Coturnix japonica: one gene and its partners. The protein of the gene in region 1 purifies or fractionates together with the protein of each later gene. This does not show direct contact. Links are inferred from orthologs where the notes say so. Each region holds a gene or a part of one and is shown in the gene's direction. Other genes may lie near its edges.

Evidence for each region.
Region 2: the proteins of NAT10 (region 1) and AATF purify together in Homo sapiens (affinity purification with mass spectrometry; 3 studies listed by BioGRID and IntAct, with this or other methods). This does not show direct contact. The link is inferred for Coturnix japonica from reciprocal best matches to the Homo sapiens genes NAT10 and AATF.
Region 3: the proteins of NAT10 (region 1) and THUMPD1 purify together in Homo sapiens (co-immunoprecipitation; 3 studies listed by BioGRID and IntAct, counting the BioPlex papers as one, with this or other methods). This does not show direct contact. The link is inferred for Coturnix japonica from reciprocal best matches to the Homo sapiens genes NAT10 and THUMPD1.

Annotation. Positions count from the first base shown.
Region 1 is NC_029520.1:6,322,571-6,330,778, reverse strand, and holds the start of NAT10 (RNA cytidine acetyltransferase), read left to right. Parts: upstream 1-3,837; 5' UTR 3,838-3,978; coding exon 3,979-4,086; intron 4,087-5,030; coding exon 5,031-5,122; intron 5,123-5,776; coding exon 5,777-5,948; intron 5,949-6,238; coding exon 6,239-6,361; intron 6,362-6,946; coding exon 6,947-7,008; intron 7,009-7,865; coding exon 7,866-7,980; intron 7,981-8,208. UniProt on the Homo sapiens protein: RNA cytidine acetyltransferase that catalyzes the formation of N(4)-acetylcytidine (ac4C) modification on mRNAs, 18S rRNA and tRNAs.
Region 2 is NC_029534.1:7,136,443-7,143,931, forward strand, and holds the start of AATF (protein AATF), read left to right. Parts: upstream 1-3,751; 5' UTR 3,752-3,802; coding exon 3,803-3,887; intron 3,888-4,130; coding exon 4,131-4,319; intron 4,320-4,884; coding exon 4,885-5,292; intron 5,293-5,804; coding exon 5,805-5,942; intron 5,943-7,489. UniProt on the Homo sapiens protein: Part of the small subunit (SSU) processome, first precursor of the small eukaryotic ribosomal subunit.
Region 3 is NC_029529.1:12,664,376-12,671,741, reverse strand, and holds the start of THUMPD1 (THUMP domain-containing protein 1), read left to right. Parts: upstream 1-3,628; 5' UTR 3,629-3,668; coding exon 3,669-3,875; intron 3,876-4,132; coding exon 4,133-4,328; intron 4,329-4,886; coding exon 4,887-5,135; intron 5,136-5,733; coding exon 5,734-6,005; 3' UTR 6,006-7,366. Other genes in the region: acyl-coenzyme A synthetase ACSM3, mitochondrial-like, read right to left, coding at 295-505, 1,638-1,835. UniProt on the Homo sapiens protein: Functions as a tRNA-binding adapter to mediate NAT10-dependent tRNA acetylation modifying cytidine to N4-acetylcytidine (ac4C).

The DNA of each region.
Region 1 (8,208 bases):
AAGGTTGTTTTTGCTGAGAGGTTTGCTCAGAGGGACGTTTCTACTTTGTATCGCAACTGAACTTTCAGAACTTCTTGTATTTTTTGACTTCGTTGCTGAATAGTCTGCAATTCCATACAAATAGGTGGTAATATCACTTTTCCATCTCACATGTGAAGAGCACAAACAAGTTTTTACAGAGGAGTGATAAGCTTTTGAAGATGATGCTCCACAGCAAACATTTGAATCAATGCTGCTGGCCAGAAGCACAGCAGTTGTAGTCAAGGCCTAGGAACATTCCAAACCAGTGTAGAGATAAAAACTGCAGTCCGGTAAGAAGTTGCTGTTGTGTGTCTTTTTTAGGAAGCTATTACTGAGATAATAGTCCCAATTGGTTTTCTTTTTTTTAACTGGAAAAAAAAAAAAAAAAAATAGAATACAAACCCTTTAATGCTGAACTGATGTAGGAAGCAGTTGATTTCTTTCTTTTCCTTTTTGTGTGCATCAGCTTACTTTGAAATGGTTGGTAGAATATAAGCTATTCAGCCTTTTCTGTTGCACACCAAATGCTAATTCAATAGCTAATTGTAGTTGGGTAGTAAACTTGCAGCATACTGAATTAAAGACCACTGAATTGATCAGAACATTCCGCTCAAGTTTTTATTTTGAAGCATAATTTAAATTTATTAATAAAACCCGGGTGTTTGAGAGGCCTCTTATTTGAGATGCAAAGTTGTAAGCCTTTTCGTGTATGAAAATGGTCTTTAGAATAGCTGTTCTACTGTATGCTGATAGAGGGAGATGTGTTGCGATAATAACTATAAAACAAGTACTTAATACGTGTTTAATCTGGGAATTTGCACTGACTCCTTTAATCTCAATACATGCAGCTAATAAACAGTATACTGAAAAATTGCCTCGAGTCACACTATGGCACGTAGATTCATTAACTGGTTTTCTGGCCTGTTCAGGGGGTCCATCAGTCAGCTTCATGGTTGATTGTAAGGGCCCAGCTTGTTTTCTTTGTTTGGTCCACTGCAGTGCAAGTGTGGTGCTACACGTTTTAAAAAGCTATTGAGAGAGAGGACTTGAGAGCTTTTAAGTACCTTCACTGCTTAGATGACTAATAGATCTGAGCTGCATTCGGATCAAAAGCAATTCTAGATCGCTTTCATTTAGGAAAAACAAATCTGTCTTCTGAACATCAAACAGTTATGATGGTAAGAAAGTGCAATAGGTAGCAGGTCTGGCCTGGTTCTGTTGTAGAGCCCTTTCTGGACACCAGTGAGCAAATTCCATACTTCTGTATTTAGATTCACCAATTGTTTCCATGGTAGTTAACTTTATTTTTCTCTGAATTGGTCTCTTTGCAGCATAACAGAAAGTAATGATTGTCTTCTGGCATGTGTAGCTATTACGAGAGAGGTGTTTTTATTCCTAACTGGGACTTCATTATCCAACATAGCAAGGCTGTGATAACATACAGTGTGTTTGAGAACCAGCTTTTATCGTTGCAGTCTGTAATAAAAGGATTCTTGAGTAAATCATGTGTAAAGTGGTTCCAGAGTTTCCCAGATGTTTCTGCCTAATATTGCTGTGTCTGGGACACTTAAGACCTTTCTGGACAATCTTGAGCTGCTTGTACTTAAGGTCAACCATGTCCTACTTACTTTTCCCTATATATTGGCTCTCTTCTGAAGAACAGCCCACCAATACAAATGTTGGATTTTGCTATGAAGATAATTCTTAATTCTAGGCTTAACTATGATTTTTCTTGTCAGGATATAGTAGTGAAGCATTGAAGTCTTATGATCAGACATGGTCCAGACTAGCTGCAAGAATGATAGTGATGGCAGGCTAAGAGCTACTGATGCGTACTGCTGGGACTCTGTAACTTTCAGAGAATTTCAGGACCTTAAAAGTCTTCTCAAACCTTATAATTTAGGTAGATTATCTGATTAGGTTTGAGGTTACCTTAATGTATATTGTTGTATAGAATGGGCGAGCTGTACTCTTCCCAAATGGCATTTGAGTAATGACTTTGGAAAGGGAGGTGTTGAAATGGCTTTAACCCTAGGCAAATATTCAAAGTGTGATAATAACAAATAATAAACAAAAACTTCCTGTGATTAACTGCAGATAGGGCAAAAACTTCGTAATCCAGCAGAATAAGGTAAATGATCAGAAGATTTTTGACCTTCCTGGTCTTTATTTGAAGGTCTGGCAGTAGCCGAGCCAGGTAGCTGATTTCTTCTTTTTAAACCATTTCTTTGCAATTATTATTCCTCAGAAATGCTTATCTGAGATGCAGATGTTAAGCATCAGTGGGCAAAACTGTGCTGTAATCTTCTGATTTCTCCTTATCTCAAGTCTGCTGTAGGTAATAAGGGACGTGAAGAAGCTGCTCGTTAAGTTCTGTGAAAGACCATCGGAGTCACACTTTGAAAGCTAAAGCTCCTTCCTCTTGTCCATGCAAAACTCATCTTGAATGAACTTTTTGAGGACTATAAAGATAGGAATTCGTAGATGGAGATGAGGTTTGCAATTAAATGAACAGAACTGCCTCAGTCTTTCAGATCCGCGTACCTTATTGTTACAGTGTTCCATCTGCCTTCTGTGTAGAACAATGAAGGCATTTAATCAGCTGAGCTGACACCATCAGTTCTGCAGATAAGATGGGTAGTTATCTTTTACCTCTGAGTGACCTGAAAATCAGTGCTTTGTTTGAGCTGCAAGCAAGAAGTCCTAAACAAGAAAGTTTTCCTTCTGGGCTTCAAGAGATAGTGGTTTTCTTTTTAAAACTTAAGCTTAAATATAGTTATGATCATCTTCTAGAAAATGCCTTGCAAAACTGCTTTGGGATCCTTGTAATTCTTTCTGTAAATCATAAGGCTACCTTATTCCATCGCAACATCAGAAACTAAGCGTGCAATTAGTCTTATACTAATGTCACATTCCTTACGTTCAGCTGCAGGATTAAGCACAAGAAGCTTTTACGTTACCTTTGGGAATATTCCGTTCTTTAATGTGAGATCAGCACACTCTATGCTCATGAAGAAAGGTAATGACTTAAACTCCTTTTGTTTGGCCGTGATGATTTTTTCAGAGGGGGAGGGAGAAGGTCCTTCAAGCTGTCCCAGCTGCAACTATTTGCATTTTGTGGCATATTAAATGTTTTTCATCCCAATCAGCACATCTTAAAGGATGCAAAGAGGATGTTTACTGTTAGCACTGCACCTGGCTGTTTGGGGATTGATATTGCATTCAAATAATCTAATTTAAGCATTAGGGAATGTAACCTGAGGGGAAAGCTGTAAGTGGGCTTTTAATGAAGCTTGAAGACTATACCTGAAAGAAAGCTCTGACCCTCATCTATTTATATAAAGATTTAGAGGCAGCATCTTGGATTTCTGTCTCTTTCTACATAATTTCATAATCTGGGTATGTTGGATTTCAGGTGTGGTATCACAGAGCCTCTGATAAGAAACTAATTTCCTAAATGGCTTATCTAGGAGGTGCTGTTCTATTTGTTTTCTTAGGCTTTTTAATATGATGTGATCAGTGTTGTTTGTGATTCTGTAGGTCTAGCCTTAATGGAAGCAAGGAAAATAGTTTCCCATATTCACATCTTAAAGCCAACTGGAGCAGTGCTATAGAGAACTGTATTAGCAATATGCTGTTCTAACTCAACAGTAATGCTTGTTTGGGGTGAGACTGATGAGTATCAGCTCTTAATAGGATAACAGCTGCACCAGAAGTCATGTTCCTTCAGCCCCCATCCCCCTTTATTCCTTCGCCCCGCGCTGAGGGAGCCGCCGCTGTCAGGCGCTCTCCGGGGCAGCCTCTCCTCGAGGTCCTTCCTGAGCGGCGTCGCTCTCGCCCTGCGCCGCGCGGCTCCCACGTGTGTTGGGGGCAGCTCCGCGGGCGCTGCTTGTGGAACCGGCGGTTTCGGCCGGGACACGGAGTGAGGGGAGAAGGGCCGAGAGCTCGGACGGCAACATGCAGCGCCGCAAGGTGGACAACCGCATCCGGGTGCTGATCGAGAACGGGGTGGCCGAGCGGCAGAGGGGCCTCTTCGTGGTGGTAGGTGACCGCGGCAAGGACCAGGTGAGCAATGAGCAGGGACGCCTCCGCTTGATGAGGTGCTCACAGCACTTCTATCCTGGCCTTTGGTGTCCGGAAAGCAAATGGGATCCTGGGGCTCCATCAGGAGAGGGGTGGTCAGCAGGGATAGGGAGCTGATTGTCCCTCTCTACTCTGCTCTTGTGAGGCCCCATCTGGAGTACTGTGTCCAGGTGTGGAGCCCTCAGTACAAAAAAGACATGGAGATTTTGGAAAGGGTCCAGAGGAGGGCCACAAAGATGATCAGGGGGATGGAGCACCTCCCCTATGAGGACAGGCTGAGGGAGTTGGGTTTGTTCAGCCTGGAGAAGAGAAGGTTGCGGGGTGACCTCATTGCAGCCTTTCAGTACCTGAAGGGAACTTACTGCCAGGAGGGGAGTAAACTCTAAAGGGCTGACAATAACAGGACTAGGGGAAATGGTTTTAAGTTAAAAGAGGGAAGATTTAGGTTGGATGTTAGGGGGAAGTTCTTCACTAGGAGAGTGGTTAGGCCCTGGAACAGGCTGCCCAGGGAGGTTGTGGATGCCCCGTCTTTGGAGGTGTTCAAGACCAGGTTGGATGGGGCCCTGGGCAACCTGATCTAGTAAATGTGTATGTTTGGTGGCCCTGCCAGGCAGGGGGGTTGGAACTACATGATCCTTGAGGTCCCTTCCAACCCGGGTCATTCTGTGTGATTCTGTGTGATGAGGTGCTCAGAGCACATCCATCCTGGCCTTTGGTGTCTACAGGGATGGGGCATCTGCTGTCTCTCTGGGCAACCTGTGCCAGCGCCTCACCGCCCTTACTATAAACATATTCTTCCTTTCATCCACTCTGTTAATTTGAAACCATTTGCCCTTGTCTTGTCTCAGCAGACCCTGCTGAAATGTATGTTGCTCCTTGTTAGCTTATGAATACAATCATGCGTTGATATTTCTGTGTCTTGGCAGGTGGTTATACTGCACCACATGTTGTCCAAAGCAACTGTCAAGGCCAGGCCGTCCGTCCTGTGGTGTTACAAGAAGGAGCTGGGCTTTAGCAGGTAAAGGGGCCTTTTGCATCTCGTGTTGCAGTAGTACTCTGTGTGAAGGGGAAGCTGTGTGGCTGCTCTGCATAGTACGGGCTGATTTGATTATCAGGAGAAACAAGTCTTATTTTTGCAGCAGATACAGGATGCTCAGTTTTCCAGAGCTAAGATTTGGCTTCACTGGTATGGTTGGCATCAGTGCTACGTACTTCTGGTTTCCTTATGTAGTTTCAACACTAACCCTGTTGTCCTGAGCCAATTTCTCCCTCACCTTTCTAATCTCAAACAGCCAAAACTTCAGTGCCTCAGTAGTATGTACAGCTGGGTACAGATGAGGCATTACAGTTGCTTTCATTTCAAAAAGGGGTTTAAAACGTTAGTTCTTAGATTTGCGATCATACTTGAAGTCCAGGCACAAAACTGGGAAGGGTTACTTGAAACTGTGTGATTCCAACCAGATGATTTCTTCCAAAAACAGCTGGTTCAGTGTTGTTTGTGCTGCTCTGGGCCAAAGGCACTGGGGAACATACCCTGAGTACAGTGTTTGTAATGCAAGACTTTTCCTTGGAGCCCGAGCTCTGAATTCCATTTAGACTTGAAACTAGGAATGAGAGCAGAGTCTTCTCAAACCATTTCCCAGAAAAACTTACATGGAGTTTTATTCTCCAGCCACCGGAAGAAGAGAATGAGGCAACTGCAGAAGAAGATTAAAAGTGGAACCTTGAACATAAAAGATGATGATCCTTTCGAATTGTTTATAGCAGCCACAAACATTCGCTACTGCTATTACAATGAAACTCATAAGATCCTTGGTAACACTTTTGGCATGTGTGTGCTTCAGGTAAGGAATTCAGCTTTTTACGTAAAGGATGTTGCACTAGTATTGATTGCTTTGAGTTGAACAGCTGCAGTAATTCTATTTGTTGCTTCTGTTACTTAAGTTTTGATGGCCTTACTTATGAGTTTTGTGGGGGGTCACAGCCTTAGAATTGTAATGGAAAGTTGGTTAATGCAAATGTTAAGTTTAATTCAAACTCTGATAAATGTTTATAGTTCTTCTCTTCTTTTTAGTAGCTGCTATTGCACTTGAGAATTCTAGGCAACTTTAAGGTTTATTTTTTCATTTCCAAGGATTTTGAAGCCTTGACTCCAAACCTGCTGGCTAGAACTGTAGAAACAGTGGAAGGGGGTGGAATTGTAGTAATTCTGCTGAGAACAATGAACTCACTGAAGCAGCTCTATACAATGACCATGGTAAGTTCAATGCAATATGTCTGTTTTACATAGGCAGGTACATTTGGTGATGTTAAGTGCTTAGTTTTTGCTTTTGTTATGGGTTGGAGTCTTCTTTCCATTACTTCTGCTGCTGGTTCTTTCATTTAACCTGGAGTGAGGTTTGTGTTTGTGCAGTTACACCATTCCTTGTGCTGCCAACAAACATAGCTGTGTTTTCTGGCCCAGTGCTAAGTCACCCAGAGCTTCACCATTCCCATGTTTATAATGCCAGTAGGTGAATTAAAGCATTAAATTATTTCTACTTAGCATCTCTGTGCTGCTTTAAATGTTCTGTATGTAGTAGATGTGGCCTTTAAATCAGACAAGAATACGTAAGACTGCACTGAAAAGTCTTGGTGGGAGAAGTATGTTTTTAAAGCAGTATTTGGAATATCTGATTGTCTCAGCAAACAAAGTCAGAATCCAGTCTGGGATGCAGCGCTGATGGAGAGAGTGAATGTAGTCCACAAGGGTGGAAAATAAATGGGATTGTCCCATGAGGTAATAATGTTTTAAGTGTCTCTGCTACTGCTGCTCCTTCTCCAGACTGACTTTTTGTTTCAGGATGTCCACTCTCGATATAGAACAGAGGCACATCAGGACGTGGTAGGACGCTTTAATGAAAGGTATGTCATCGGGCATTCAAAGTGTGTGTCAGAAGGGTGCCTAGAGCAACATCATGTGTTCATATCAGGAAAGTATCCTGTAAGTTTGCATGAGAATTAGGGATTCTTTGCTGCTTCTGTGAAGTTTATATGTACTGTCCTGGAATGAATGTTATATCTTGTTGGAGAAACTGTATACAAAATTTTAGCGTTATATTACAAAGGATGTGCAAATTTTCCCAGATTTGTAAAATCTTCTGAGTTCTGTTATTGAAATGCTACATAGAAACATGTACTCTAGATAAGGAAATTCAGATACTTGGTGCTTACTATACCTACTATAAAACATGAAACTGCTCACTGTGGAGTCTTCTCTGTGGCTTTAGAACTTCCGTTTAAAGGTGATTCCTCTCCTTTTGTTGTATCAATGAAGTTGTTATTGAGTGACTGAGCCCCTGCTGTAGCCATTGGAAAAAATCGTTCTTTTGCATGCAAGGGGTATTTTTGTGGTGTCTGAAATTAGAAGGATGAATAAACCAGGCGCTGACCACAGTCTTTGCTGGTGGTCAGCATTTGTCACAATTATCTTGAACTTCTATGCAGCCACCTCCCGCTTAAATGCTGGAAGTTGCTTTCTAGTTCTCTTGGTGGATCATCATATGTTAGCAGTTTTCTTTGGAGGCGTGTTCCCCTGTAAGTGGATGTCTGTCCTGCATAAACTATCCTGATAAGAGGCATGTTACCAGTTATGTGAACTTGTCTCATCTTAGTTTTAAGCTGCTGTTGCTGTAAACACTTAGAACAGAGGTTTAATTAATCATCAAGATGCAGTAGTGTTGCTAGTGCTTTTACTGAGTTGCCTTTGCTTGACTGCTCAGGTTCATTCTGTCTCTGGCCTCATGCAAGAATTGCATCGTGATTGATGATCAGCTGAATATCTTGCCCATCTCCAGTCACGTTGCAAACATCACACCTGTTCCACCACAGTCACAGGTCAGTAAGCAATGACAGACACTTCTCACTGGGAGAAACTAGTCTGAGTTGAAAAGCATTAAAGGGCTGAAAAAGAGACGGCTTTCCTTTCACACTGATTGATATCAGATAATGGCATAGACAGATGCCTTTGGAATTTTCAGTGACAATTAGGAAATTCAGAATCTGTTTCTACTTGAAATGGATTTCTTTTGTGTCTGAGCTAATTGATTGGCTTTCAGAATATTG
Region 2 (7,489 bases), on another chromosome or scaffold:
CTTTTATTTATGTCCGTACTCTATGTTCCAGATGACCACAAGATATTCTTGAAGTTCTAACTAAAATTAATGGAACCATTAAAGAAATATATTTTGAGTACGAATCCATGTGGGATTTCTGACGGCCTCTTTTGAAACGGTATTTGTTATGCTTTCAGTCACAGACCCGGCTTACGATGCTGAGTTGCTTGTTGTCCAGAGAGCTTTACATTCATTACGGCAGTGATGGGAAGAAGGGCAGCCCTGTGTTGTGTGGCTGCTGGGCAGGAGCTGTGTGGTGGCCGTACCACAGCCCCAGAAGGGCACTCTGACTCAGGTTGGCCCTCTGTGTGCTGATCCTTGGGGCATCTCTGGATGGGGCTCAGGGTTGTGTGTGTGCTTTGATGGTGCTCAGTGCACTCTTTCAGCAGTTACTGGGAGCCATGAGAACTAGATTGTTTTCCTGCTTGATTTTAGAACCAGCGTGCTTCCTGCAGAATGGCTGCTGTTGGAGAGGCTGATGGTATCTCACCATGTTTGGCACTCACCGCTCGGCTCTGTTAATGGGACGGCACTGCGGCGGTTTGAAGGCCGGAGCAGTGCGGGCTGTGCTGCAGGCAGACACAGAACTGCAGCCACACATGTTGGATATGGGGAGAGATGGAGGGAGAACCTCAGGACAGAAGCCACCCCGTGGGGTTGGGCTGTGTGTGCTGAGGTTCTGTGCTGCGCTCCTCTCTGTGCTCCAGAATGCACACGCATGGTTCACTGTGGGAGTTCTCTCTGGGGCAAGAAATAGGTTTTTGCTCCATCTGAAAAGGTTTTGTGGCTGTCGCTGAGTTGCCTTCAAATTCCTGCCTGCTAGGAACATCCTCAGTCCGTGTGTCTATGCGGGTGAGCTGCGTTCATCACATCTTGAGGTGTAAGAACAATTAAGAGTTGATCAAATCTTGGAAACAGTTGTGGTTTTTGATTGAATGATCATTAGAGATATTGGAAATACTCAAATAAAAACAAAGCACGTGAATAAATTCATCCATAAGTATAAACAAATATTTATAGGGAGATATTTTTATTACAGACGCCTGAGTTGGCTGTAATGTGTTTCCTTGCAGCAGATGGGTTTGGTGTGCGCTCTTCCCTTCTTGCCCCCATCTCCTTCCTCTTCTTGTTCTCCTTTTTCGCTGACAAATTGAATCGCTGATACAAAGAGAACATCTCAGAATGAAACAGTGTCTAAAACGAGTAAAGGCCGGGCTGGAAAATTACATGTAGGGAAGAGCAGCTCTGTGTTGAGGCACTAACCATCCTTGTGTGGGTCATAATCTGCTGCTGCCAATGCCACACAGCACATGTGGGGGCTGCTGCTGTGTGGGTCCCCTGGAGCCCAATGGGAGCACTGGGATGGATTGCTGCTTTTCTTTGTTGGCGTATTTAAGGAATGCACTGAAAGAAAGGAAAAGGATCTCTGTGAATAAGGTGTGAGGGTAACAAACACAGGCACATCAGTGTGAGCCCTTTGCTGCCAAATCCAGAAGTTTCCTGGAAGGTGACATGGTCCACCAATAGGTGGGAGAAATGGAAACCTCTTATAGCAGCAAAAATCCCCGTGTTTTTATGTGATGTGTGTGGGGTTTGTTCCCCTTTTAGCAAATAAGTGTGGAAATGAGAAGTAGAATGAAGAGGAAGCAAGCTGGAGAAATGATGTCGGGTAGTTTGATGGCTCCTGGAGCTTCTAAGCAGGTGGAGGGCTGGGTGGGATGCACGGCCATGCGGCTGTTTCCATCACAGCTTTTGTGATGGTCTGAAATTAAAGGGTAAGGATAGATACCGTGTTTGTCCAGAAAATGGTCGTGAACCAAATCCACAGCAGCGTGATTTGAGGGCATGCAAACCAGGAATTAAAACCAAGTCTGAGAGTCGGGTTTAATGACCCCACTGAGTGGGAGGCAAAAAGAGAGAGAATTGATTGTAAAGAAGGAGCCTGTGCTGGTGAAACATTTTAACAACTACGGACTTAAATACCACAGATTCTGCTTCATGTCCTTATCTGAACTAGCTTCCAGAAGCCAACGTTTTTCTTAGGACTCACACAACTTTCTGTGTATTGCTTAGGAATTACACTGGGTACGTTCTGATTAAGCACTGCTAAATGCTGCCCTCCGTTTATTGAGGGGCTATTTATCATTTGTTGGGGTCGGAAACATCCCTTCTTCACTCCATGAAGTGCAGAGCTTTGAAAATGCAATTATGCATGGGGCAATGGCCAGTGGTTCTGTGGTTGGCTGAGTACGTCTCAGGAGCTGCTCAGGTAAGCATTTGTTTCTGCTCCTTCACTTCCTCTGGATTTATTTCTCCTCCCTTTGTTTGTAACGGCATCGTTTAGTCTGGAAACAACACGGCTGTGAACTTGGAGGGGGAAAAGAATGCAGAAGTGATGGCGGTTTGCACCTTCTGCTTTGGAAACGTCTGTAACGTATGTGGAAGAGCCTTAATTTCACATCACGGCAGCAACAGCAAATATAATAAAACACCTCAAATATAATGCAGAGAATCAGAGCTGTCACTCAGACCACGAGAAAATAAATACAAAATAAAGTTGAAATGGAACCGTAAATACTTGACTGCATAAAATCCAGGGGTTTTGTTTGTGATGATAACGTGTGTTTCCAGTGAGTTTCTATATAACTAGAGATGCAGTCCTCGCAGCAGCAGACGGTAATGCACGGGTTCCTAAGGAGCCGAAGGGCACCGGAGAGGGGGGAAAAGGGGCGAAGTGCCCCCCGGGCTCCTCCTGCGGGTGCCGTGCGGGCCGGCAGGGAGCGGGAGCCGCCGGGCCCGTAATTAATGATATTCCTCTGCCCTCTGTAGGACGAGCGGCTGCACTGAACGCTCCTGCTTCGGGGGAACCAACCTGGATCCCGGAGCCGCGGAGAAGCGCCGGGCTTGGCCTGAGCCTTCCCGTGCTCTAATTAGAATGCATGTCGGGATTAATCTTTGTAACATTCAGAAGCAGAGAAGTGGTGAGGGCGAGCCGTGTGCTGGCAGGAAGGGGATGAACGAACCGCCTGCTCGATGCAGTTGAACTTTGCAGCATCACAAACCTGCCGGTGCCATCCCAAACAAGGGGTCCCAATAGACCTCCTGGGGCCGCTCCTGGAGGGGTGGGAGCTTTAAGCCCCCACCTACAGCTCACGTTTGAGGTGCCGACCTGGGTCCGTTCTCACTGCCCACAAGAGATGCACCGCCCTCTATTCCCAGCCACCATTTCCAGGTGATACGTTGTGTTTGGGGGCTGGGAGGGGGTCACTTATCCCACATCGCTTTGCTGGGGTCCCACACGAAGCTGCAGGTGCTGGATGCAGCAGAGCCGTGCCAGGTGTGGGCAGTGCCCTACAGCCCCCACTGCTCACATGGCAGGGGTGTGCAGACTGGGGGTGGAGGGGGGAAGAAAAGTAGTAGATATATAGATATATATTGAGTTATATAGGACAGCTGTGCTGTAAGAGCCCATCATTCTCGTGCCTTCCAGCACTCAGCACATATGAATTCTCATGACAGTAGCGATGGAGGCGGGTCAGCCCGGTGCCGGGGGGGGGGGGGGGGGGGTTCGGATGGTGGATTTCGGTTCTTTTATGGCGGTTGTTTCCGCTCGAACCACCGCGTACTTTAACGCGGACAAAGAACGAGAGGGGGCGGACACGGCTCGACGGAGACCACGCCCCCAATTGAGACCACGCCCACTATGAGGCCCCGCCCACTTTAGGCCACGCCCCCTCTGGGCCCCGCGCGCCGCCAGGCCCCGCCCCCTCCGCTCGGCAAGATGGCGGCGCCCTTAGCGCAGCAGCTGGAGGAGCTGCTCAATCCCCGGCCCGACCTGCGAGACCCCGAGGATGACGCGGAGGAAGGTGAGAAGGGGTCGGGGAAGGGCTCCGTGTGGGCGGGGGGCGGCCTGGGGTAGGATGGGGGAGGCTACTGGGCTGCGGGCCGAGGCTGCACGTGGAGCCGCCGCCGTGAGAGTGGGGGGGGGGCACGGTACCGGGTGGGCCCTAATGAGAAGCTGCGGCCTGAGGTGTGCGGGAGGGTGGGAGAAGCGGCGATTTCTGGCCTGAAATTCAGTTCTGTTTATGTATTTGTTTCCTTTCCTACAGCCACAGTTGCTAAAGTGATCGACAGGTTTGAGGATGATGCTGCAGATGAAGTTTTACCTGTTGGTAAGATACGGAGAAACGCTTCGGCCGCCCTCTTAGAAGCTGATAAAAGGTACAGTGGGAAAGCGACATCTCGGAAAGCCTTGAGGGAAGAGCTGTGGGGAGATGCGCTGTCTGAAGAAGGATCTGGTAAGGAATCTTAGTTCTTTATGCTTTTAGTTGGGATACTTATAGTTTTGGCATGCTAGACCAAATTAGGGCTGTCTCAACTGAGATGAGAAGCTTTAAGTCCACGGTGGGGGGTTATAAACAGGTAGAAATAAGTTGGGCGTCTTTTTGAGGTGCCTTCTTGAAATTCAGGCCATGTTTTTTGATCTGAAGGGAAAGGAAATCCCCCATTGAGGTCTCCTTCTTCAGGAGGAGGGGCTGGGAATAACCTTGAGGTGAGGCTGAATGCTGTGTGAAGGGAAAGAAGTAGTTGTCACTTTAAGGCCAATATATCTCGATGACTGCAAGCACATCTCATTTTAAAGACAGATACATAAAGCAAATTATGAACACCCGTTTGATTACCATGTCACTAATTATTGTTATAGAAGATAAGAACTAAGATCTTTTCCTGGGTATAGACTCATTTACTTATTTATCATTAATTGGTCAACATGAAAAATTAAACCAAGTTTAGTGCTCAGATCAGTACCCATCGTTGTTGCATACGGCAGAGTGACAGATGTTTTTCTCTTTGAATTAATAGCTGCAGAAGCCTTAGATGAGTGGTACAGCGGCAGTGAAGATTCAGAAGACAATGGCAGTTTGGGCAGTAAAACAGAGGAGCAACCCAGCAGTGCTGGCAGTGAGCAGGAGGATAACCTGGAAGATGATGGGAGGGATTCCTCTGCCAAAGCACCAAAGTTCAGTTTCCAGAATGTCACAGACTTTGAGAAATTTGCAGAGGGGATGGATGATGTTGGGAGCAGTGATGGAGAAGATGAAGATGATGCCAGCATGGAAGAAGGAAGCGATGATGAGAAATACGAGGGGGAAAACCATGACCACGTAAAAGACGCCACTGACAATGAGGATGATGGGGGGGTGATGACATTCTCCAAAGGACAAGCGAGCGATGAAGTGGAAAAAGGAAAAGCGGTGAAGAATCAGCTGGGTTAGTGCATGTTTGCTGTGTGTTTTGATGAGATTCACCTTGCTGACACTACAGACGCTGCCCGTGACAGGAGACACTGCAGCATTTTAACTTGCTGTTGGTGCAGTGCGTGTGCAAGCTACAGCAGCCTGTGTTGTTTGCAGATGTTGCACTAAACGTGCTATGCACATTGATATCACCGCTCCTACAAAATCTCATATTATGGAGTATACTTCTCTGCTGGCTTAATTGAACCCACACTGAATGTACTTGTAGTTTGGGTGGGAAGGGGGACTTTACACTGTTAGTTCTGTGCTGTGGTGCTATCTGCTATCGTTCTTCAAATGCTGAAGTTTCTTCCAGTCTATTCAGTCAAGTTACCACTGTCCATTTACAAGTCCATTCTAACCAGTGAAGACAACGGAGTTTTTGTGGTTCTCAGGGTTGCAGTCAGGATCACAGATAGGATGGGGAAGGAGCAGGTGCTTTGGCTTGTGAAATAACTTCTTTTTTCCCCCCTTTCTCTTACGAAGCACTGTGGGATCACATCTTGGAAGGCAGAATCAAGATGCAGAAGGCACTTGTAATAGCCAACCGGCTTCCTCAGCCAGATACTTTCCCCCTCTTCAGAAAGGAAGGTGGACAGGAATTCGACAATGCTGTGGAGAGCTGTAAGAATTCTTTTAACTTCTTACTTTGCATAGAGTCTGCTGTAGCCGGTGTGTTTTTTATATGTGTGAGAGAGCATTAATAGGAAAGTGAGGGCTTTGAGCCACGTGTGTTTGTAGCTGTTAGTTTATATTGCCTTAATCATTAATGAGTGTATGGGAACTGCTGATGTCTGTCTATGTCTAACTGATCTCCGACAGCCTGTGTTGTCTCTTATGTGATGTTGGTGAGCCTCAGCTTGGGTCCTGCTGCTGTTTCTGCTTCATGTGGGTATTGAAGTTCATTTATCTCTTCTGTGCTGGTTCTTAAAAGTAAATGGCTTGGTTATTGCTGCTTGGTGTAGAGCTGGGATGCTTCTTTGTCCTGAGACACTGTGTAGATAGCAGTTCTGTGCTGGGTCTGTGATTGCAATGATTTGCCCTAATCAGGAGTAATGCAGCACAAAAGAGAAGGGCCTGTGCTGTCAAAGCAACAGCAAATATCACTTCAGTTTGGAGCTGCTTCAGATGTTTTTAGGATCGTTGTTAATGATACTGATCTGATGAGACTTGTAGTAGATTCTTGAACATGGTAAGTAAAATCTGCGTGCTCCGGCTGATAAACACAAGGTGCTCAACTTCATCTGTTTAATTTATTAATGCTTCGGTTTGTATGTGCAGAACTGATACCTGTGTGTTTGAGAAACTTTGACTTAGGCTGCCATGAGTTACCTTAGAACTACATCAAGAACTTCTGCCATGATCCAACCTGACTGTGGGCCTTACCCCTAAGCCAGTGTTTGACTGTTATCTTCCAGCTCACACCTGACCTGAGCATGTAGCTAATCAGCTTATTTGGAGTTATAGCAGGTGAGACTCCTTGTTTTAAAGTTAGCTCAGCTGCTTTAAATGAAGTGATTAAGGAAAAGAAGGCGAACTCCCAGCAATACTAAGCTGACCTTTCAGTGAAACGCATGTTATTAATGTGTTTAATGAGATGCATTACAAACTGCACTGAGCACCATGTTTCATTACAGGTCTAAAATGTAATATCATTAAAGACCTTTAACAGAAACAATGGTTGACATTTTGATATTCCCCATAAGCAAAATACATCCAAGAACACGTGGTGTAATACCATGCACAGTATGGCAGAGAGGTTAATCTGCCAGTTGTCCAGTACATTAAAGAAAAATCTGCTGTTAATAGCTGCTCTGTGATTCCCTGCCCACCCTGTTTTCATAATCCAGCCAGGAAAGTTTGCAGCAGTTTGCTCTGCTGTTCTAATGACCCGCATTCAGGTTCCACATTGAGTGGGGAGACAGAACAATCCAGCTGGGTTGAGCTTGGTGACCTTAGCAGGGGGCATGTTCAGTCTCATGGGTGGGAAGTATGGAGCTTAGGAACACTCTGATGCTGCTCTGTTTGTTTAGCATTTGCTGGTGTTCTCTAAGGGACCAAGTTTACATTTCTTTATATATCTTTTAAATGCAGTCTGTAATTGTACAGTAAAGTAGGTTACAGCAGTTGTTTGTGCTGATCTGCGCTGTTGTCCAAGGAAATATTTCTCT
Region 3 (7,366 bases), on another chromosome or scaffold:
ACACTTGGCTAAATGTGGGCCAACTTCACTGCAAGGTCGCAAGAAGGTGCACTTGGGATGCATCACTGGTGCTGGAGAAAGGAGAATGCCCAGGGAGAGTGGACTCATGGTGATTCCTTAATATCTAGAGCATGTGCAGAACTACATAGAAATGCCACATTTGGCATGAAGGGTGCCCTTGTTTTACTAGTTCATCCTTAATAGCATGTTTCTAGTTCTGCATGCATTAAGTAGCAAGGATTGGTTTAAGTCATGATTTCTGTCCCCGTACGCCACCTGTATGATCTCACCAACCTGTTCTCATGCAAGCCACATTCAGCAGCCACCACTCTGGGATCCGTGGCAGAAGCAGAAGAACTCTGTCCCCGCACTGCAGACTGCAGGCACCAGAAAGTACATTGGCTGCCTTCCTGGACAGCACTCCCAGCTCCTCAAAGCTCCACTTCACCTCTTCTCCATCACCATCTACCCACCACAATGCGGGGGTTTTAGGCTTTTTTCCCTCCTATAGAACGACAGGGTACAAGGCAAAAGCTTCACTTTAGGAACATACCACCTGTACCTTAATTAGGTCTAAGGAAACAAAGCATTTGGCACTAATTCAGCGCTGGAGGAATCTGGGGATGAAGCTGAAATTTGCTGATGGCTCCAAACGAGTGAGTCTCTCCATCAGGAAGAGCAGCCTACAAATATCATGTTAGAAATTAAATTTGCATTCCTTTCCTGAGCTCATGGTGTTTCCCCCTGCAGAGGCTGTCCAGCCTTCTGTTCCTGGCCACAAACAAAGCTGCCAATGGACACAGGTGCAGCTGAGCTGTGCCTCAGTTTCACAAACTCTCTGAGTTCATTTCAAACTTATTCTTGAATTGGGCCTCTTTGTTACTTCTGAGATTAGATCTGAGGTTCAGAAGCACAGCGTGACCTCTAATCAGCTAACAGATGTGTGAAAAGTGAAATGTATGTACACAGTGTGCTCTTAAGGGGACTGCTGCTTTAGCAGTGACATTGTACAAGTCGCTTCCTGAGCAAAGAAAACCTCACAGAGGCAGCAAGAACATGGCATCTTGTTTTCTGTTTGAAGGTAGAACAACACTAAGGTTCATCTCCAGGGAGAAGAGTTCTGCTGTGTACTTCAGAGGGCAAAACTCTTCAGGTGTTCATCCCTTGCTTAGAGCTTGTGCCTGTTTGGGCACTCCAAGTGTTTTGGTTTTGTGGACTGATAGCTCCTGATGCAAACATTTCATGACCAGAAAAGAGTGGGAGGTTCGGCAACACACGGTGTTACTCATTTTGCAGGCAAGCAGTGAAATGTGTGTGGGCTGAGTGCTTTGCCTCACACACACAGGCTGGGTGCTTGTCACAGCTGCTAGGGGAAGTGGTGCAAGGCTCAGAGTGCTCCAGTTGGTCTTGTCCTTAAGGCACAAATTTACTCAGGGTCAGTGTCCCCAGAGTTACTCATTAAAGAAATAAATCGCTCAGGCCCACAAACAGGGCAGCATGTGGCCTAGGGGGTTTACAGGTTCAAACTACATGAGATGGCCATGAGATTATAGCCGGAGCATAACTACAGCAGCGTGCTGGATGGATGTGCCTGGCAGCTCAGCTCTTCAGCAGCAGAGCAGATGAGTAGCTGTTACCTTTTCTACTTCGGTCCATCTGTCTAACACATTGCTCGCAAAGTTGAAGTACTCTGGCACCTCTGGTCTGTACTGTTGCTTCATGAGTTCGTAACTAAACGAGGTTTGAGCTGGAGAGCTCTGGCTGCAAAGCTGGCGAGATCTTCTCAGGGAAGCGTGCAGGGACACAACATTCAGGGCCTTCAGGAGACACCGCATAGCAGCAGCAACTCAAGCAGCCTCCAAGAAATGCTGCAGATATACAGATACAAACCTGGTGTTAGCCATGGAGTTTCAAATCAGCATTTACTACCATGCAGTGGAATGAGCTGGAATAACAATGACTGTATCTGGAATACCTGGTGATGACAGTTCTGGATCTGCTGCTGTAGGTCCCTGCTCCCACTGATCATCACACAGCTGAGATCTGACCCAACTTGCCACACTCAGGCCAGACAGCAGTGCAGCGTATCCATGTGTCACAGCCTTTCCCTCCCCACAGCTCCCATCCATCTGCTGGATGGTGCTCGACAGCACTGCTGTTACATAGGAGGGGCACTGAAAGCACCTAAAGTGTGGCTGCTGGGAATGGAAGGACTGCTACTAACTGACAACACTGAAGTAGCAGCATGGACTAAGATGGTGCATAGAAAACCTACAGTCCCGCATGAGTTTACTAGCTGATTGCAGCATTACTTGCTTCAAAGGCATCTGCAGTTTACCCAGTTCATCAGTGCTGGGGTTATGCTGCTTGCCAAGAGTACAATGCATATAGGAGAGCCCTGAAAATGTTTTAGTACTGCTGTTTTAAACACTGCTTTGATGTGCAGTCAGCCAAATCCACCTCTGTCTGAGCTGGGGAAAGTTTGAAAGACTCCATGATAAGGGATTCAAAATGCAGAGCTGTGTTTCTCTACCGTCAGCTTAGGAAGAGGGCAGAAAACTCAACTAACATTATTTGCATGCATCGTTGACATTTGTTTGCAAAATAATACAAACACTGATAACTCCTTGCTGAATTAATCATCATCCAGCCGTAAACCCACATGATTTCAGCAATTTGGTGAAGCAAAGGGACAGATTTTGATCTATAACATTCAATCTGTTTATGACAGACACAGGAGAGAATCCCAGCGAGATGGAAGGTGTGGAGAGGCAAGGAGAACAAGGAATGCAGACAGGTAAGAGGCACATCAGTCTTGTTCCAGTACCACAAAGTGTCCCGTCCAGCAGCAGCACGGCTGGCTGGGGAGCTGGTCACCTTGAGCAGGGGCTGTCAACTCACCTCTTACTCTCAGCCCTCCAGCAGCTGAGATGCGCTGCAGCTTTGATTGCTTGCACAAATCCAAGGCTTCGGTTGCACAGCTCCCCTGGCACTGCTGCTGTGCTCAGTGACAGCCGGCTGCTTCTGTTCCACGTACTTTGGACTCACACAAGGGGCAGACAGGTCCCATCTGGAGAGAAGAGCTGACAGGTTTCTGCAGAGCTCAGAGTGGAAGCAGAGAGTGACGTGAAGGTGCAAATCTCTCCTGTTTCCTTCCAGTTCCTACCCCTGGCTCCGGACAAGTGCAGCCTTAGAGCCTTGCTGCAGCCAACTCCAGGCTGTTACACTGTGTGTGGGGCAGCACAAGGAACAGCAGATCGTAACTACAGCAGCGCAGATGTGACTTGATTCCTGGGGTGCTGCAGCTGGCACAGCGTTCTGTAAGCGCTCTGCCCACGGCCGTGGCATTTCTAGGCTCTTTTTGCCTTTTCCTCTTTCTTAACCAAACATCCGTGTAACCTCTGTTTATTATTGATTGTACAACGCGTCAACGGAGAGACTTCATCTAGAGGGCGAGCAATGAAGAGCGCGGGATGAAGCAAACACACGCAAACACACACAGACACCCACACACACAGACACACACACACACAGACACACACACACACACACCCGCACCCGCACCCGCCCACCCCGCGCCCAGCCCCGCCCCCAGCCCCGCCCCGCCCCGGTGCCACGTGCTGAGTCGCGCAGTGTGACGTCATCTCTCCGCGCGGCTCCAGGCTGCCATGGCCGCCCCGCAGTTGTTGGCTCGGAAGCGGCGGCTGAAGTCGCAGTTCTTGGCTCGCTCCAAGCGGCCCCGCGGCGCCGGGCGGCAGCTGGAGGCCGGGATGCGCGGCATCCTCATCACCTGCAACATGAACGAGCGCAAGTGCGTGGGGGAGGCCTACAGCCTGCTGGGCGAGTACGGGGACCTGCTGTACGGGCCCGAGCAGGTGAGTGCGGCCCGTCCGACGGGGGCGGGAGTGGGGGGGGGAGGATGAGGAGGAGGATGAGGACGATGATGGCGGCCGCGCGGTCTCGCTCCGTGTCCCCGCCGTGTCCGTGTCCCCGCCGTGTCCGTGTCCCCGCCGTGTCCGTGTCCCCGCCGTGTCCCTGTGCCGCTGACCGGGTTTGGGTCGGGCCGGTCCCTCGGTACCGGGTGTCGGCTCCGCTCGGCGCTGACCGCGGGACACGCACCGTGTGCCCGCAGCTGCCGGAGCCCGCGGAGCGTCTGTCGGGGAGCGACAGGGAGGAGGAGGAGCAGGAGGAGGAGGAGGACGACGCGGAGGCCGCGCTGAAGAAGGAGGTCGGGCAGATCCGCGCCTCCACCGAGCGGCGGCTGCGGCGCTTCCAGTCGGTGGAGAGCGGCGCCAACAACGTCGTGTTCATCCGTACCCAGGGAATAGGTGCGTGTGCGCGGGCCGCACCGCGGGGATCACGGGCCACGCGGGGCCGGGGCTTCTCCTGGGGGGGGGGGAGCAGCCAGGAAGGTCGGCGGCATCATGGGCTGTATCAGAACTAGAGCAGCCAGCAGGACGGGGCGGGGGGCAGCGCTCAGTGCTCAGCCCTGGGGAGGCTGCGCCCCTAGTGCTGTGTGCGCTGCTGGGCCCTCACTGCAAGGAAGATATCGGGGACCTGGAGTGTGTCCAGAGAACAGTAATGGGGTCTGAGAGGTGTCTGGAGCACATGGCTCATAGGAGGAAGCTGGGGGAGTGGGATGGTTCAATCTCAAGAAGAGTCTCAGTGGAGACCTTACTGCACGGTACTGCTCCTGAAAGGAGGCTGTGGGAGGGCTGGGGGTTGGCCTCTGATCCCAGGTAACAGTGATAGGATGAGAGGGAATGTTCAGATTGAGGCTGAGCACAGTGCAGATAAGCATGTATTTCCCCGGCTTATAGTTATAGGGGGGAACAAGGGAGAAGATGCCTCCAGGTTGATTCTTACACTTAGCTGTTTCCTTGTAGAACCTGAGAACCTGGTGCACCATATTTTAAAGGACATTCATACCACTAAAAAGAAGAAAACCAGAGTCATTCTGCGCATGCTGCCCATTTCTGGAACTTGCAAAGCTTTTCTGGAAGATATGAAAAAATACACAGAAACGTTCTTTGAGCCTTGGTTTAAAGCCCCCAATAAGAGTACGTTCCAAATCGTTTACAAAGCTCGTAATAACAGTCATATGAATAGAGAAGAAGTAATTAAGGAGCTGGCAGGTACGTATAGATCACATACAGAACTGAATCTGAGTATACAAGCAGATCACAGTTTCATGCATAACGTGGGTTAGGCTGTTTGAGGAAAAGTGCTGTAAATGAGGAGGTTTGTTGCTTAAAATCTGCATGTTGAGTTGTAAAGGCATCTCTGAGGCTGTGGAAAGAGCTTGACATGAGCGTTTCCTGTCGATGTCTCGAGGTGACAAAACAGAACGGCGTGCAGTAGTGAATTCAGTTTGGTGTGTCAGTTATATGTGCTTAGAAATGACTACATCAAGTTGTTTTCTCTGAGCACTATACTGAAAAATACACGTTCCATTTAATATGGGACTTGAAAAACAGCTCTGCAACAAGTTGCATGCTTTGGCATCTTGTTTCTTGCTAGTTGCAGTAGGATAATTCTTAGTTACTGTAGTTCTCTGGGTAGTATTTCTTAAGAATCCTTCTCTGTTCTGCGATCTTACACAATTGCAGTCAGTAATAATTGGTTACGAGCAGAGGGATGTTATCTTCTCTGACTTGTATCCCTTTCAGGAGAGCACGCTGATGTTCTGAAACAGTTTTCCCAACATCTTTTAAACTATATCTTGTTTTACAGGAATTGTGGGCAGCCTTAACCCAGAAAACAAAGTTGATCTCAATAATCCACAATATACAGTTGTGGTGGAAATAATAAAGAATGTTTGTTGCTTGAGTGTGGTGAGAGACTATGTTCTATTCAGAAAATACAATCTACAGGAGGTGGTGAAGAGCAACAAAGAAGACATGAAACAGAACCCATCAAACGTGTCTGAAGAACAGAATTCAACAGCCGTAAAACCAGAAACCGTGGAAGAGAACTTAAAGGAAGTAAAACAAGAACAGGAATGATGGTGAGATGGAAGTTGAACTCCATGGGAATTATATGCAAACTGTAGAAAATGTGGTAGAAAGGAAAGATGAACACAATAGAAAGCTATTAAAAATATTGCCTGGGAATTTGGAGAGGATGTTTTAAGGAAAAGTGGGTTTTGTTTTGGGATCTTGTTTTTAAAATCCACATGGAAGAATTGTAATTCTTGCTGCCAGTGTTGCTGATGCTGCTGTGGATTTCCAAGGGCTTCACCTCTGCTGAGGTTTGCTGCCATCCTTCAGCAGTTTTGTTCAGTTGTTTTTAGCTAGCACTGAAGTGTGCTTACATGCATGCATCTATAAAGGTGGCCAGCCTGCTGTACACTGACCCTTCTGCCCTAACTGATGGCTACAGAAATCAAAAAGCGGGGCAGGATGAGCTCTGTCAGGAGGCATCATCAGAAGTGAGAGACCTGAACATGACAGTTGTTGGAGAGGGTTTTAGGGAAGTGATCTGACAAGTTTTGGGGCTGCAGAACTCAGATGTGTCTTTCTATGTGAACAACATGAGCTCCAACTCCTAGATATGTTTTTTTCCTGTATTCATCTCTGAAAGAATATGGTAAGCCTTAAAAGGGTATTTTACGGGTTGCTATGATCAAAATACTTGAACTCTACAAGAGGATTTGGAGTAATAGACAGGACTGCTCTAGAACAGAAGTACAGTGCAGGCCTTGCAGATGATTTCAGAAGCTCCATGTGTGTACGCTGGCTGTGTGTGCAGCAGTGATCAGCTGGCAGCAAATGCTGCATGCGGCCACTTAACACTTTCCAATAATTTATTGCAAATAGGTTTTTGTTGGGCTCTTTGAAAGCATAATTCTTGGGGGTGAAGTTTTAAAGTCTTCGGTTTTATATGTTCTTATTATTTCTTAGATCTCAAAATTTGGATTTAAAAACTGCTTGGAAATTTCTCATGAGAAGAGCTCTGTGCTATTCCATATTGGATAAGGGGATATGAGCTTGGCTTTTTGTACAGGCTTAGCCTCGCAACATTTGTTTTGTTCCATATTGAAAATGAATGTCGGTGGGTTTTCTTTTGTCAGTTTGTTGTGGCAGCTCTTGATATCGCAGTGACTTTAAAATAAACCAAGCCAAGGAGTGCAGCTGCTGCCTGCTCTGTGAGGGCTGCCGCGCTCTGTCCATCACACACTCCTGCACAACTGCCCAGTGTCAGTGTTTCCATTTCCATGGTGGGCAAAGCCCGTCCTGCCGAACGCTGCTTGTTCCTCCTGATTTAACAGGAACAACCTGTTCAGGTCTCTCAGTGTTTCCATTTTCTCTCAAAGCTGTTACAGAAGGTGGAAATTTAAGAGGACTTTTTCTCTTGTCCAGTCTTC